Drosophila melanogaster: one gene and its partner. The protein of the gene in region 1 interacts with the protein of each later gene in a biochemical or structural test. Each region holds a gene or a part of one and is shown on either strand. Other genes may lie near its edges.

Region 1 (7,804 bases):
AAGCGTGTTTCCAAATTAATTGATTTGAGTTTGACATGCATACGCATTATTTTTTGAAAATTTCCAAACCTATTTAATACAAATTGTATAAAATCAGGCACGCATTTTGCGATCAACAAATAACGAAGCGAAATCAACAAAAGTCCCAGATATACACAAAAAAAAAAAAAATGCCCAAGCGTTTTTGTGTAAATCACGCCATTTTATGAAGTGTAAGATAATCAAATCGGTATTGAGTTTCCCTTTCGGAAACTTTTGTGCAATTAAAAACAAATTAATTGGCATCCAAGTTGATTTAAGCATTTTTGAAATCTTATTTTCAAAATCCAAGGCACTTAACTTTTTGTTATTTGCAAGAAACTATCACTTTTTTCTTTTTGTCCAGCATAGAAATGCACGTAGATTTCTTTGCTTTTACCTATTTGCACTTTTTTTTGCCGTGTATAAGCCTCTATATGCACGGAACGTGAAAATTGTAAACAATTGTTTTTATGGCATCACTCACAAAAACAAAAAGAGAGCCAACCCTGAAAAGCCCTGAAAAATTCTCAATCCAATTTTGCAACTTTGCAAATTGATTGGAATTGGTGACCCCGTTTCTCATATTCCCATATATCCATGTTGTCCTTTTGCAGGAGGAGCGAAAAGCCAATGGACGTCTGGTGGCTGTGATCGTCTGTTTTCTGGGTAAGTTTTTGGGATTTTTGTAATACTACAGTCAGGCCTGCCTAACACAAACCAGCCAAGTGAAAAATATTCACATACATAGGTATAAATTCATAAGTATCTCTTTAATAATGCTTACATGAAAAGATCTTTTAGATTTTTGAGAAAACCATTATTAAAATCATTTTCGAATTCTTAACTGGTAAACAAAACTAAAAACTAAACTAAATTAGAGCACGCAAATCGAATTGCCACCGACTTTCGCATGCTCATTTTGAATTGGTCGTTGTTAGCGAAGCACGACTGTAGCCACGAACTCAACTCAAATCCATTTCCACAGTGCTCTTCCTGGCCGTCTACCATGCCTGCGTCCGGAAGTCGGAGAACTCGCTGGCTGGCGTCCTGGTACCGGCGGGCATCATGCTCTCTTACGGCGCCTGGGTGGTCGTCCTGGCCAAGAGGGACAAGCACAGGCGTGCCATGTTTGTAGGACACACCAAATACGAGGAAAGCCAATGAATGATGCTCAGCGATGCTCTTTCATTTTCCAGGAGCGGCACATCGAGGAGGTGACGCTAAAGAACAAAATCGAGCTGGAGGAGAAGCATGCGCGCCACGCGAAGAAGGCGCAATCGCATCATGGTCACTCCGGCACCGATTCCACGGGCAGTGCCTCCAGTTCGCTGCACTACGTCAACGAGCTGCTGCCCAACGGTGGCGGTGAGCACCGCAAGAAGCAGCGACGCCATCGTCACAAGGAGCGCTCCGTGGAGCGAGATGATCATCATCAACGTAGCCATCAGCGCTCGCATACGCCGGACATTGGCGTGCATCGTGGAGCGCCCAAGAGGCCCAGTTTCCGGCAGAAGCTCTTCGGTCAGACCATCGCCCATGTCAAACTGGTGGAGGCGCAGAGCGATAGCACGGATTCAGCTGGCGCATCTGGTCCGGGTACGAGATCAGGTCGCAGTACGGTCGCCAGTCCAGGTGGCCAGGCCAGTGCTGCGGCCAAGCTCAATCCCGGCGAGAAACGACAGCGACTACAGCGCCTGGACACGTTGCCACTGGCGCAGGTGGTGCGTGTCAGCTCGATTCCGTGAGATATAACCATCTGGATGGATGTACATATGCATGTGGAAGTGGAGTAGTTCTTTCTTTTTTTTTTTTTTTTGGGGGGGGGGGGGCGGAGGCCCGACCTCGCCATTGTGTCGACTAAATAAATGTATTATAAAAAATATAAACAGGAAATTCGCCTTTATAAATAGACGGCAATCAAAAGGAAGGAAATGTTCCGATCTTCGTAACGAAATCAATGCTAAATACGTGAGAATTGTATTGTGCACATAGTTCAGCCCATCTGGCTTTTGAATATTTTCAAAATCGTGTGTTTACAACTTGATTTAAGTGAGTTGTAAAACTAATAGTTATGGAATAGTTTAGTTCGAGATTTTTTGGCGAGGTGTTTTCAAGTTGAAATTCAAGTATTGTAATTATTGATTTTCGATCAAGCTGATGGCTTTCTTTTTGTAACGCTTAATTTAGACAATAGTTTTTGAACCGCTTGTCGTTTTCGCACCACCATATTGTTTATTCTGCCTACTTCCTTACGTTAAAATGTTTGGTTTTTTCTCTGATTTTTTTTTTTTGCTTTACATGTACATCAGCGGTGCATTTCCATTGTTTGTCCGAATTAATGGTGGCGTTATTTTTAACGATCAGCACTATAACTAGATTTTCGGCTACCCTGTGCTCGTGTGCGTGCCCAGAAACGAGGATGGGTGGGTGGCAATTCCGGGCACATTGTTTTCGGTCATTGATTATTGTTATTACAATTTAATAGTTTACATGTGGTGGGCCACACTCGGTCGCTATTGGCCATCGGATTTTGGAATTCCCCGCCAAAATAGAAGCCACTTGGTTGCTTGTTTACTTGGCAGGAAATTCGCATTGTAGACCAGTGCCGCCATCTATGTGTGAGATTGGGGTAAACACAAAAGGCGGTTTCAATTATGGAATTTGCTTAGTTTTTCAGCATAGCGGGATTCAACTAGTTTTTCCATACTTGGAAAATTACATTAGATAATATATATTAATTACATATTAATATATTAATTGATAATTTCAATTGAAAATATCACTATATACTTTGGATACTTTGGTATTAAAGCAACAGGTTATTGCAGTTGGAGCCGTTCCACTAAGGCAGGAAAGCAGTTCGTAACAAAGTAGATTGAATTATTTATCAAATTTCATGTGAAACATTTGTTTCTTGAATTATGCAATATGCCATGGTGGAAACACAAGCCACTTCTTTCGCACAGATATCGATAGCAGAAACGCATCTAGTGGACGCGGCCTGGCTTGCAGCTGGAAAGTATCGATCGCCCGATAACAATACCCGAGCGCACCTCGCATGGCGTCGCGCTGCGGCATTTGAATTAAACGACGCGCCGCCGAAACGAGAAGTTGTTGCATTTTTTCGTATCTAGTTACCTATGTTTTCGTTTGTGGAACTGTCAAAATTGTTTGTTGCCCTGCGGACTTCAGTTTAGTCATTAAATTTTCATTGCTCGTTCGGAGCAGTTGTGCTTCTGGTTGGAAAATACAAAAAAAAAAACAAATATTCGGTTTTCGTGAGCATTTGTGCTAAATATATTTTTTGTTTAATTGCGTTTTCGATCGAAACCCGTTTGTTTCGCGTACATTGTTTTGTGTGCTGTGCCGTGTTCTGGAAAACATCCGTTACTGGATGCCAACAATGATAGTGTGATTAGTCTACGCAGACATTGAGCATACATATACGGGCGCACACACACCCATAAAAACGCACAAAAATTCGCAATGGACACGCGCAGCTGGCGCAAGGTCCTACTCCAGTGGGTATGTAAATCTCGCATTGCGCATCACGCACTGGGAATCATTTAGATTAACCCAATTCTGCGGCAGATTGGCGAGTGCCACTTCATCGAATCGAACTACATTACCTTGGAGCAGTCGGATCTGGACTCCTTCTTTTCGGTCTTCATTCAAAAGATCCAGGAGACGGAAAATGTTAAGGGGAAGAATGAGCTGCAGGATCAGCCCACAGAACAAAGCCCCCTTGTGCAGGAATTCCTAGCACGTAAGTTTTTTTTTACCTATTTTCCTAGTTTCTCATAGGGTATAGGGAAACATTAATAAATAGTGAAGCCTTAGTATGAGAATTTAGCGCACTTCCAACTTCATGAACCCACTAACTTGTAAATTTTCCCATGCAGATAACTATCCCGAGTTCATTGCACAACAGGATGACAAGGAAGTCGATCTGCCTTTGGATTGCCTTTACGTTTACACGCTCCTGTTGCATTACTCGTGCGTTAAGAAGCCCAGCTTGTTCTTTCACAACATCTGCAATAAACTGCCGGAGCTGACACAGACATGCATCGCATCCTTCTTTCGAGAGACCGTGGACAGGCTGTTGACGCGCGAATATCTTAGCCAGGCGATCGCCAACGTTGCAGTTGTTTACCGACAAGGGGTTTCGACCTCAGTCAGCCCATGTCTTCCCAGCAGCAGCCTGAGTCCCGATCCGAGGAGCGATGATGCACCATGCCCATCCACGCCCTCATCGTCATCGTCACAGCCGTCGAGCAGCACGCCACAGTTGCGCAATCATCGCGAACAACTTCGCCTGAATGGCTGCGAAATGCCACCTCCTTCGACCCCGAAAACGGAGCTACTGGAGCAACGCACCAAGGAGCTGCGCGGTATTCGTACCCAGCTGGAGGTGGTGCGCTACGAAAAGGCCTTGCTGGAGGAGCAGCAAATGGAGAAGGACGAGCTCATTAAAGTTCTCAACAAAGGTTAGAATGCTTCGAATGCATTACTTTCATAATTTTTTTACAAGTAATTTCATAATCGTTTGCATTTCAGAGAAAATGATGGCCAAGATGGAACTAGAAAAACTAAGAAACGTGAAGCTAACCGAAGAGCACCACGATAACGAGAGCCACCACATTATGCCATATGAGTTTGAGCATGTAGGTAGACTAGCGCAGATGGTCACAGGTAGCGAGCGGGAGCTATAAACTAATAAAACTTTTAATCCTCATTTCAGATGAAGGGATGCCTTTTAAAGGAAATCGGTCTAAAGGAGAGTCTCATCGCTGAGATTACCGATAAGCTGCATGATTTGCGTGTCGAAAATTCCGAGCTGTCCGAGAAGGTAAGCTACCTGTTCAATTTTATAGGGACTATACTATAAAGAAAATTCCACCGGGTCTTGTGCGAATGTTAGCGAAAAACTAGCAACTGTATAGATTATATTCGTTTACATTCAATTCATAATGAAATCTAATATATGTTATATCTTGCATTCATTAAATAGCTGAATCTGGCAGGAAAACGATTGCTGGAGTATACGGACCGCATTCGATTCCTTGAAAGTCGTGTAGACGACTTGACTCGTATCGTATCGTCCAGGGACGTTATGATCTCCTCTCTGGAGTCCGATAAACAGGAATTGGATAAGTGCCTTAAAGAAGCCCGCGACGACTTGCACAACCGAATCGAGGTCTTAAACGCATCCTCGGATTTACTCGACTGTTCGCTGTCGCCGAACACCACGCCCGAGAATTTGGCCAGTTCCGTGATTGACAAACAGTTGCGCGAGAAGGAGCATGAGAATGCCGAGCTAAAGGAGAAGCTGCTGAATCTGAACAATTCCCAGCGGGAGCTATGTCAGGCCCTTTCAAGTTTCCTTCAGAAGCACAATATCGATCACGAGTTTCCGGTAGAATGGACATCGTCGTCCCTGTTGTCCACCATTTCTGCGATCGAAAGTAAATTTGTTAACACGTTGGAGAAGAGTACGCAAATGAAGAAGGAATGCGACGTTCAGTCTGTGTGCGTCGAAAAACTACTGGAGAAATGCAAGCTGTTATCTGTATCGCTGGGATGCCAGCCAAAAGAGCTAGATGGATTCGAGGCCACAATACCGGAGGCAATGGAGTCGGGTTTCGAATCGAGCCGTGAGTGTGAAACCATTTTGAGTTGTTGTCATATGAAGGTAGTCGATATAGCATCGAAAAACAACGACCTGGAGTTAGACAACGAAAGGCTTAATGATAAATGCGCTGAGCTTAAATCAATAATTGATCGCGGGGATCAACATTTGGCCGATATCAATCTGCAGCTAATCGAGAAGGAAAAGCAGATAAAAGATGTGGGCGCTGAAATTCAGGAGCTGCGCAAAAGGAATATAAACCTTGAAAATATGCTCAGCCAAATTGCAGATAAAGAGGCCAGTGCGGCAAGCCATGCACAGCATTTGAAGCAGTGCGGTGAGCTTTTAAGAGCCAAGTATGAAGTGTGTCGAAATGAACTAATTGCTAAGAACGCGGCCCAAGATGAGTTGGTCCGGATGATGATGGTGCCAGATGGGGAGACCTTAAATGGGCGCGTACGCCAACTGATCGATCTGGAGATGATGCATGATGAACATAACAAGATGTATGCACAGATGCTGAAGCAATTAAATGAACTCAGCGCTAAACATGACAACATGACGCATTCCCATCTAGACTTTGTAAAGAGAACGGAGATCGAATTGGAAACGAAGAATGCACAGATCATGGCATTCGATGAGCATAACAATCATTTTGATCGTTTTCTGACCCGCATCTTTACACTCTTAAGAAGTAGAAATTGTCCGAAATCCACGACCATGGGCTCAGCGACCAACTTTCTGGAATCGATGCATATTGAAAAGCGGTTTGAGAATATTGAAATGTTAATTGAGGGGCAATTGCTTTCGGCTGATGATCTCAAGCGGGAGTTGGATGATCTTCGGTCGAAAAATGAGGAGCTCGCTAAGCAGAACATCAATGGAATAATAAAACGCAATAAATTCATCACTTCTCTAGAGGTCAACACCGAAAAAGTGAAGCAATACATAACAGATCTAGAGGAAGAAGCTTTCAAGAGAAAGCAAAAGGTAGTCCAGCTGGAAAATACTCTAAGCAAGGAGCAAAGCAATGCGAAAGAAATGGCACAGAGGTTAGACATAGCACAGCAGGAAATAAAGGACTACCATGTGGAAGCCATTAGGTTTATCAATACCATTAGGGATCGCCTTCAGCAAGATTTCAATGGCGTAAACACCCCACAGCAGCTGGGCACTTGTATGACCGAATTTTTAAAAATGTATGACCAGATGGAGGTGCGATACGAGGAGTCCTCGTCGTTGGTAGAAAAGCTCACGGAATCTCAAGCAAAATTGGAGATGCAAGTGGCTGAGCTACAGGTAGAGCTAGAAAATAAGGATACCAACCAGCATTCGGGTGCCTTGATAAAACAGCTAAACGACACCATCCAAAACCTAGAGAAGGTCAACGCAAAGTTAAGCGAGGACAACACTGTATCGCATACCGTGCATTCAAAGTTGAATGAGAGTTTGTTAAAAGCGCAAAAAGAGTTAGACCTTCGTGCGAAAATAATCGAAAATCTGGAGGCTTCGGAAAGGAACCTCTCCATGAAGTTGTGCGAGCTGAAAGATCTGAAAAACAAACTGAAGTCATCTGATGAAAAAATTGCCCAGATAAAGGAAACGTATGAAGAACAGATTAAAGCTCTTCAAGCTAAATGTGACATGGAGGCTAAGAAAAACGAGCACTTGGAGAGAAATCAAAATCAAAGCTTAACACAGCTCAAAGAGGACGCACTTGAAAATTGTGTACTTATGTCGACAAAACTAGAGGAACTGCAGGCAAAGCTGCAGGAAGGACAGCAGCTTGTAGATAGCCAGAAGCTGGAGCTGGACATGAACCGGAAAGAACTGGCTCTGGTTAAGTCTGCCTATGAGGCACAGACCAAGCTATCAGATGATTTGCAGCGTCAAAAGGAATCCGGCCAGCAGCTTGTAGATAACCTGAAAGTGGAGCTGGAGAAGGAGCGGAAAGAACTGGCTCATGTTAACTCTGCCATTGGGGCACAGACCAAGCTATCAGATGATTTGGAGTGTCAAAAGGAATCCGGCCAGCAGCTTGTAGATAACCTGAAAGTGGAGCTGGAGAAGGAACGGAAAGAACTGGCTCAGGTTAAGTCTGTCATTGAGGCACAGACCAAACTATCAGATGATTTGCAGCGTGAAAAGGAATCT
Region 2 (7,423 bases), on another chromosome or scaffold:
AGAGAGACACACACACGCACGCGGCACAAAATCGATATTCTAAAAATAATATAAGTAAAAAATATATATGCTCATACGAATTCTAACCGATTGCGTGCGTGTATTTGTGTGTGCGTGTGTGTGTGCGGGCTGGCTGGATTGCGAGCGTAATTACATATTTATTTATTTATTAAAACTTTTGAAACACCGAATTGCGTCTGGGGATTTAGCCGCTTACTGCGCACTTGAAAAATTTGCATTCGCCTTGGAAATTTGGCTTTAATTTTGCACTCGGCTTTGTTTAGTTGCCTTTTATTTCTCCTTCTTTATTCGGGCTTGGAATTTTCGCTGCAGAATTTATTAAAAACCGACTGCGTATGTGTGTATATAAAAGATTTCTATATCTTTTGCAACCGACGACGAAGGCGGCATACGGCAACTGTGGCGATATTTTTTTCCTTCGTCCGACTCTCGCGCTCTCTTTTCGTTTTCGGCTTGCTCTCTCTGGCACATGGGTATATACTATACGCGAGAGGGAGCAGGCACACACAAACGAAAAGCCTGCCTCCAATTGATTAGTATTAGTACTTCGAATAGTATTACTATTGTTATTGTTTTCATCTAGCTGACTTTCAATTGTTTGGTGCTGATATTTAGCTAGATTCCCCAGGTGCGATTACTCATTTGGCTTTTGTTTCGAGACCACTGTGCCAGATTTCTGGGTGAGAGCGTGGTGAGTTTCGTTTCAACTCACCACAGAAACTGTTGTTGCGCGTCGCGCTCTCTATTTAGGCGGCTCTCTCCCACACACGGTCACACTACAGTCCCAAAAATGAATGAAAATACCACAAAATACCATCCAACGCACGGGCACACCGGCGAACTGAAAGACGCCGCTGCTTTCAAGTTTTTCTCCCGTTTTTATTTCCTATCGAGGGCGATAACCAAACAAGGCTATCGTTATCGACCTCTCGCTCGCTCTGTATCCCTCCTTCCCTGTCGCACTCGCTCTCCTTTTGTGTGGCTAATTTTTTCCTTTTAGTCCTTTTTTCGGTTGCCTTCGTGCAGAAATTCCCTGCTTTATGTAATTTAGAACACAATGTTTGCGTTGCACTGTTGGCCGACTGCAGCTGAAAACCGCACAAAAAAAGCGACGCACACACACACCTTCGAGCATCCGGACTTCCAATTTGCACTGCTTTTCTAACAGTCTATCGCGCACGCACTGCCACAATTTCACCCGCTTATCGCGCCGCAATATGGGACGTTCGCTTTTCAATCGATTTTGGTAACCGGCAGGTGCGCTTTATGCGAGAATTACGAATTTTCTCCAGCGGCAACTAGAATCGTTCACACAGACACCGTAGAAGTGACGCCATCTTTGAAGCGATTAGTGTTGCAAAGCGCGTCTGCAAAAGTGCTGGCTACCAACTACGGTTGATAGGGATGAGGGCTATGGCTTGTTGACCGAAAATGATAAATGTTAACTATGCCAATATATTTTAGATTTTACTAATACGTTACAAAAATAAGAAAAGACTATGATAAAATTGTGTTTTAGCTTGGCTCATAAGTATTGATCCTTTATAAGCTATGGTCTTGCAGTGGCTAACATTTCTCAAATTAGGGCAACCATCTGATAAGATTTCTAATTCGAATTCTAATAAATGAATTTAAACTGCTTTTTCTTAAAGTTAAAAAAAAATTAGTTTTAAATCAAACGGCATGCATACATTAACCATCAAACAATGTAATTATATATATAATATTACCAATTGGGCTACTAAATATTGCTGATATGTAAGCTATGGTCATGAGGTAAAGGCATATTATTTATATAATTTTCATAGTATCTTTGTTGTAGGGGAAAAATAACAAGTAATTTAAAATTGTTCAATTGACTTAAAACAAAATATAACAGATATTATTTTTAAATCCAACGACATACCATATAAAGTTGGTATTTCTTTCTAATCTGCTTGGTATTCTCATCGACCCCAATCGGTCACACTGGTCGTGAATCAGAAACGCACTAATTAGTCAAAAAAACGGTACAAAAGATCGCTTAATTGCTGAAATTTCACCTGTCGCAGTTAAGTTTACCCACCAGCAGTTCAAAACCAGCCAGAGGCTAGCTAAAAACCCCAAAGATCGACCCCAAAACATCGCCGCAAAGTGGACAACTCCCAGTTTTCAGAGCACCTGCCCCTCAAAAAGGAGCATCGCGACAAAAAGGCGAGACTTCGCAGCAGAATGTCCTCGCTCTCTGCGTCCGCGGAGAATGTGTCCAGTTTGGGACTGGGATCGGGCGGAGGAGGAACTACTTCCCACGACGGCAACTCCCAGCAGGGTTCCGGATCCGACGGAGGATCCAGTATGTGCCTGGAACTGGCCCTCGAGGGTGAACGCCTCTGCAAGGCGGGTGACTGCCGGGCGGGCGTGGCCTTCTTCCAGGCGGCCATTCAGGCCGGAACCGAGGATCTTCGCACTCTGTCCGCCATCTACTCCCAGCTGGGCAACGCCTACTTCTACCTAGGCGACTACAACAAGGCGATGCAGTACCACAAACACGATCTTACGCTGGCCAAGAGCATGAACGACCGACTGGGCGAGGCCAAGTCCTCTGGCAATCTGGGCAACACCCTCAAGGTAATGGGTCGCTTCGACGAGGCGGCCATCTGTTGCGAGAGGCACCTAACGCTGGCCAGGCAGCTGGGAGATCGTCTGTCCGAGGGACGCGCTCTTTACAACCTAGGAAATGTCTACCACGCCAAGGGCAAGCACTTGGGTCAGAGAAACCCTGGAAAGTTCGGCGACGATGTCAAGGAGGCGCTCACCCGTGCCGTGGAGTTTTACCAGGAGAATCTGAAGCTCATGCGGGATCTGGGTGATCGTGGTGCTCAAGGTCGAGCTTGTGGTAATCTGGGAAATACCTACTACCTACTAGGCGATTTCCAAGCGGCCATTGAGCATCATCAGGAGCGACTGCGCATTGCCAGAGAGTTTGGTGATCGCGCGGCTGAGCGAAGGGCCAACAGTAATCTTGGCAACTCGCACATATTCCTGGGACAATTCGAGGACGCCGCCGAACACTACAAACGCACCTTGGCTTTGGCCGTTGAGTTGGGTGAACGCGAAGTGGAGGCCCAGAGTTGCTACAGCTTGGGCAACACCTACACGTTGCTGCACGAGTTCAACACTGCCATCGAGTATCACAATCGACACTTGGCCATTGCCCAGGAGTTGGGCGATCGAATTGGTGAGGCCAGGGCCTGCTGGTCACTGGGCAATGCCCACTCTGCCATCGGTGGTCATGAGCGGGCCCTAAAGTATGCGGAACAGCATCTTCAACTGGCCAAGGAGCTGCACGACCCGGTGGGTGAAAGCACAGCCAGGGTGAACATCTCCGATCTACGAAAGCTACTCGGAATGCCCGACTCCGAGCCTTCACCCACCGAGGAGGAGGCTCGATCCACCGCCTCCGATCACTCGGCCAGCGGAAATCAGTCGGATGGATCGGAGAACTCGCAAGGAAGAATGGTAAGAGAAACGAGCTGCAACAACATAAAGCAATATGAATGATTCCTGAGATATTTTTAAACAATACTGGCAGTCCGTTTGTTCTATTTTTCGAAGTGGACACCTGCTGCTTGCAGTGTTTGCCCCTTTATGTTAGCGTAAATATTTATACTTTGTACCAAAACACATCGTTAAACTTTCGATTCGAGCACATGCTGAGAAATTGAAACCCCTGAAAGATACATAGCTAAATTTATTACTTTAATTGCTTCCCGTCAGGTGCGCGTTCGTCGCCAGAGCATGGAGCAGTTGGACCTGATCAAGATCACTCCCGATGGAAAGCGCATGCAGGAGGAAAAGCTACGAGCACAGGCGACCAGGAAAGCCAAAGACGACGACTTTTTCGAGATGCTTTCGCGGTCGCAGTCGAAGCGCATGGATGACCAGCGCTGTTCGATCAAGGTGAATCCCGCCGGAGCTCCGGCGGTGGCCACTGGCGCCACGCGTAAGCCGCTTGTGCAGCAGAACTCGTTGTTCGTGGATCCCACCAACCTGCCTGGCCTCAAGTCACCGTCGTCGGCGAATCCATCAGCCATTGGACATGGGCCGCTCGCCAGGAGCGCCACCACTACGCAGCAGCCCGATGATGACTTCCTAGACATGCTTATGCGCTGCCAAGGCTCGCGTCTGGAGGAGCAGCGGTCCGAGTTACCGCGCCCCAATGTCACCATGGACGCAGAGGCGGAGGCACCACCGCGATCCGTCCCAGAGGCTGCTGTTCCAGGGGCACCACGCGGACAGACCGGACGTGGAGCTACCGTCCCCGATGAGGACTTCTTCTCACTGATCATGAAGGTCCAGAGCGGTCGCATGGAGGATCAGCGCGCCTCGATTCCGTTCCGAAATGCCAACAATAACAACAATAGCCGCAGCAACAACAACGGTTCAGCCGGCGGAGCTGGAAAGTAGAGAGTTGTAGTCCAAAAAGCTGAAGTCCAACCAAACAATCCTATAAATCCATCCCTGGCCGCAGCTCCTGACTCATTTCGTTGTAAGCCCATCTTGCGGCCATTTATTCAGTCGTTTATTTTCGGAAATTGGCTGCTAAACATTTTGTTCTTTTACAAGATTTATATATACACACGTACACGAAAAGCATTAATTTATGAATAGCAACTAACCACGTAACCAAATATTAGGGGTGTATAGGGCCTCGTCTACACGAGCAGAGGGAGGAACCTCCAACGGATGCACACACTCATCCACTCATGACTCATTACATACTCCACCATGAGCTGGCCATGATATTGAACGATATGCACTCGAGTCTTACGATATTAACGTTTTAATTGCATGTGCAAGTAGTTTAAGCCGGATAATACTAATGTACTAATCCAATTTGCTCAATAGACGGAACCAAGTCTTCTCTACGATCAACGATCTTACATTCTCGTAGCCACATTCAGCTAAATATTAAGTTTTAAGTCCATCGAACCCACTCTACATGTAAGCAATGCATTTTCCAAATCAAAATCTAACTACAGATATATCCAATTGTAACTATGAGTATTGCATTTTTCTATCAATCTATCGATCGATCTAAACTCTGAACATATTTTAAGCCACTTACAATTTTTGTTAGTATATTAACAAGACACAAAGAATAGCAGCTCGGAATTCCATTTGAGGACCGGCGCTTGTGCAAGCACTTAGCATACGATATACACAACCAATCATACTTACACATATACAAGAAACATATGAACAATATATATATAGTTATACCAATGTCTAACGATTTGCCTCTTCGGGTATTGTTCTACACAATATATACAATACAAGTTATATATACACAAAACAAAAACACAAAACTGAGTTCGAGTTGTACGAAATGAAGCCAAAATTTATTAATGTTATACTTTTTTGTAGCACGAGATCTACGGGATCTGCGAATGAAAGATACCATACAGGCGGACAATTATGTCGTGTATTATTAAATATTAAAATCAAAAAATGTTTGCTGACACGTTCGTGATTTTTATTCCAAGATAAGGGTTTTAGATTCAGATACTTAAAGATCATATCAGTATGTGACAAAAAAAAAAAAAAGACTATTTATTCGACTTTAAAGCTTTATTCATAAATTAATCGTCTTAGGTTGCTAGAACATATGCGATAAGTATTCGAAAGTGGGTTCCCTCTAGTCGCACTCCCCTTTTGGCTTAGTTGGGGCAGAATCAAGGCCTCTGATCTCTTCTCCCCCCTAAAAGTAGATCTTAAATTTGCTCTGTTTTATTTACAAATTGATTTAGATAACTCAACAACGGAATGCCTACGCGGCGAACCCCTTCTTGCTGTCCATGTCGGCGGCCAGCACGAAAATGGGTGCGGAGTAGTCCACAGGCTTGTCGCCTCCTTCGCCCTTCAAATAGGGATTCGCCGCCTTGAGGTTCCGGTTTCGCTTCAGCATGACATAGACCACAAATATGCTGACCAGGAAGGCGGAACTGGTGGCCATTATGAACAGCACCAGCTGGATGGACTCGTCCTGGGCGGTGGCCGCCTGAGCCACTGGGACATGAGCACTGCGGTGCACAAAGTGGGAGCGGGTCAAGTCCGGCCGGAAGTGACCGCCCGCCAGGCGGAAGTCGCCGGCGGAAATTGCCGCCTCGATGGCAAAGGCCAAGTCCACCTTGGCCTCGTTGTGCAGCTCAAAACGGACAATAGCGGATCCATCGAAGTTCTCTTGGACGCGCAAGTTTTCGACGGACTCACCGCCGAGTAGCTGCTGCAGTTCCCGCCGGATGGTGTCGTAGGCATTCCTTATACTCCGGCCACTGCTGTTGGTCAGATGGAGTTCGATGGCCACCGCCTCTATCGGAACATGACTGCAGCGACGATCGCCAGCTCCAAAGACGTGGGTGGACTGTAGCTGGTTGCCGGCCGCATCGACGCACCAGCAACTTCTGCCGTTGCACTGCAGCGGGCGGAAGGCTCCTGCCTCATCGCAACTGACCGGGAATGGTGCCGTTTTCGACAGAGCTCGACAACGTGTGGTCTTCAGCTCCATGGGTTTCAGGGTGGCCTGCTCCACGGATAGCTGAGAGTCCAGCAGTGAGTTCGCCAGCTCTAGTACTCTCTCCGTAACACTGGACTCCGCTGCACTGGCGGTGGCAGGCAGCACCCTAGCCTCCAGCTCATCGAAGTCCAGATCCTCGCTAGCGACATCATTCAGTTGGGTGAGCTGAGCAATCAGTTGCTCCATCAGAGGATCGCCAGAATCGAATGCCTTGCGGTTACGAGCCTGTCGACTATTGCATATGGGTTCGCTCTCCCGGGTGAGGGTTCCCTTTAGAGGAGCACCCTTCTTGTCCGCACACCAGCAAACTCCGGGCGCTTCCTCGCCAGCGGATGCAGCTGGTTCCGATGCAAAGGCGCGACTAACGATCTCCGTGTGCCTGTCCATGGGTTGGGGCTGCTTGCCCAAGCATTGCACGGGACTCCAGTGGCCAGTGACTGGGTCACATCTTGGTTGGAACCAAACTGAGGAGTGTCCTGTTCGCTGGGCAGCCAGGTTGTTCTTGAGCTTCAGGCGCTCGCATTGAGTGAGCACTGGGGACGAGACGAATAAATGGATTAACGAGGAGTTCCAAAACCAAAAGCGGAGGCTACCATCTTACCTGGACACACGGAGTTGCAGGCGAGTTCGTTGTGGAAGAGGTTCTTAGTTTGGCAGGCGGGTGCCTCGGAGTCGATGACCACGGGTAGGCACTTGTTTGCCTTGGGACTGAACCTATAGCGCGTGCTATTTTTCTCCGATTTGCCAGTGGCCAGACAACCATTATCCATGGACTCGAAGCAAACATCACGGGTCTTGGAGCAGCAAACACCACGGTTATTGACCGGATTCAGCTGACAGGAGTGG

The links. The genes of interacting proteins can lie anywhere in the genome.
Region 2: the proteins of mud (region 1) and pins form a complex in vitro, tested with the Drosophila melanogaster proteins (2 studies listed by BioGRID).

Annotation. Positions count from the first base shown.
Region 1 is NC_004354.4:14,244,613-14,252,416, forward strand, and holds the start of mud (mushroom body defect), read left to right. Parts: upstream 1-3,119; 5' UTR 3,120-3,507; coding exon 3,508-3,546; exon of another isoform or gene 3,547-3,612; coding exon 3,613-3,787; exon of another isoform or gene 3,788-3,923; coding exon 3,924-4,508; exon of another isoform or gene 4,509-4,578; coding exon 4,579-4,685; exon of another isoform or gene 4,686-4,762; coding exon 4,763-4,870; exon of another isoform or gene 4,871-5,032; coding exon 5,033-7,804. Other genes in the region: CG32599 (uncharacterized protein), read left to right, coding at 636-687, 1,007-1,152, 1,218-1,766.
Region 2 is NT_033777.3:27,580,856-27,588,278, forward strand, and holds pins (partner of inscuteable), read left to right. Parts: upstream 1-1,984; 5' UTR 1,985-2,232; coding exon 2,233-3,519; intron 3,520-3,777; coding exon 3,778-4,467; 3' UTR 4,468-5,521; downstream 5,522-7,423. Other genes in the region: CG5639 (uncharacterized protein), read right to left, coding at 5,831-7,110, 7,179-7,423.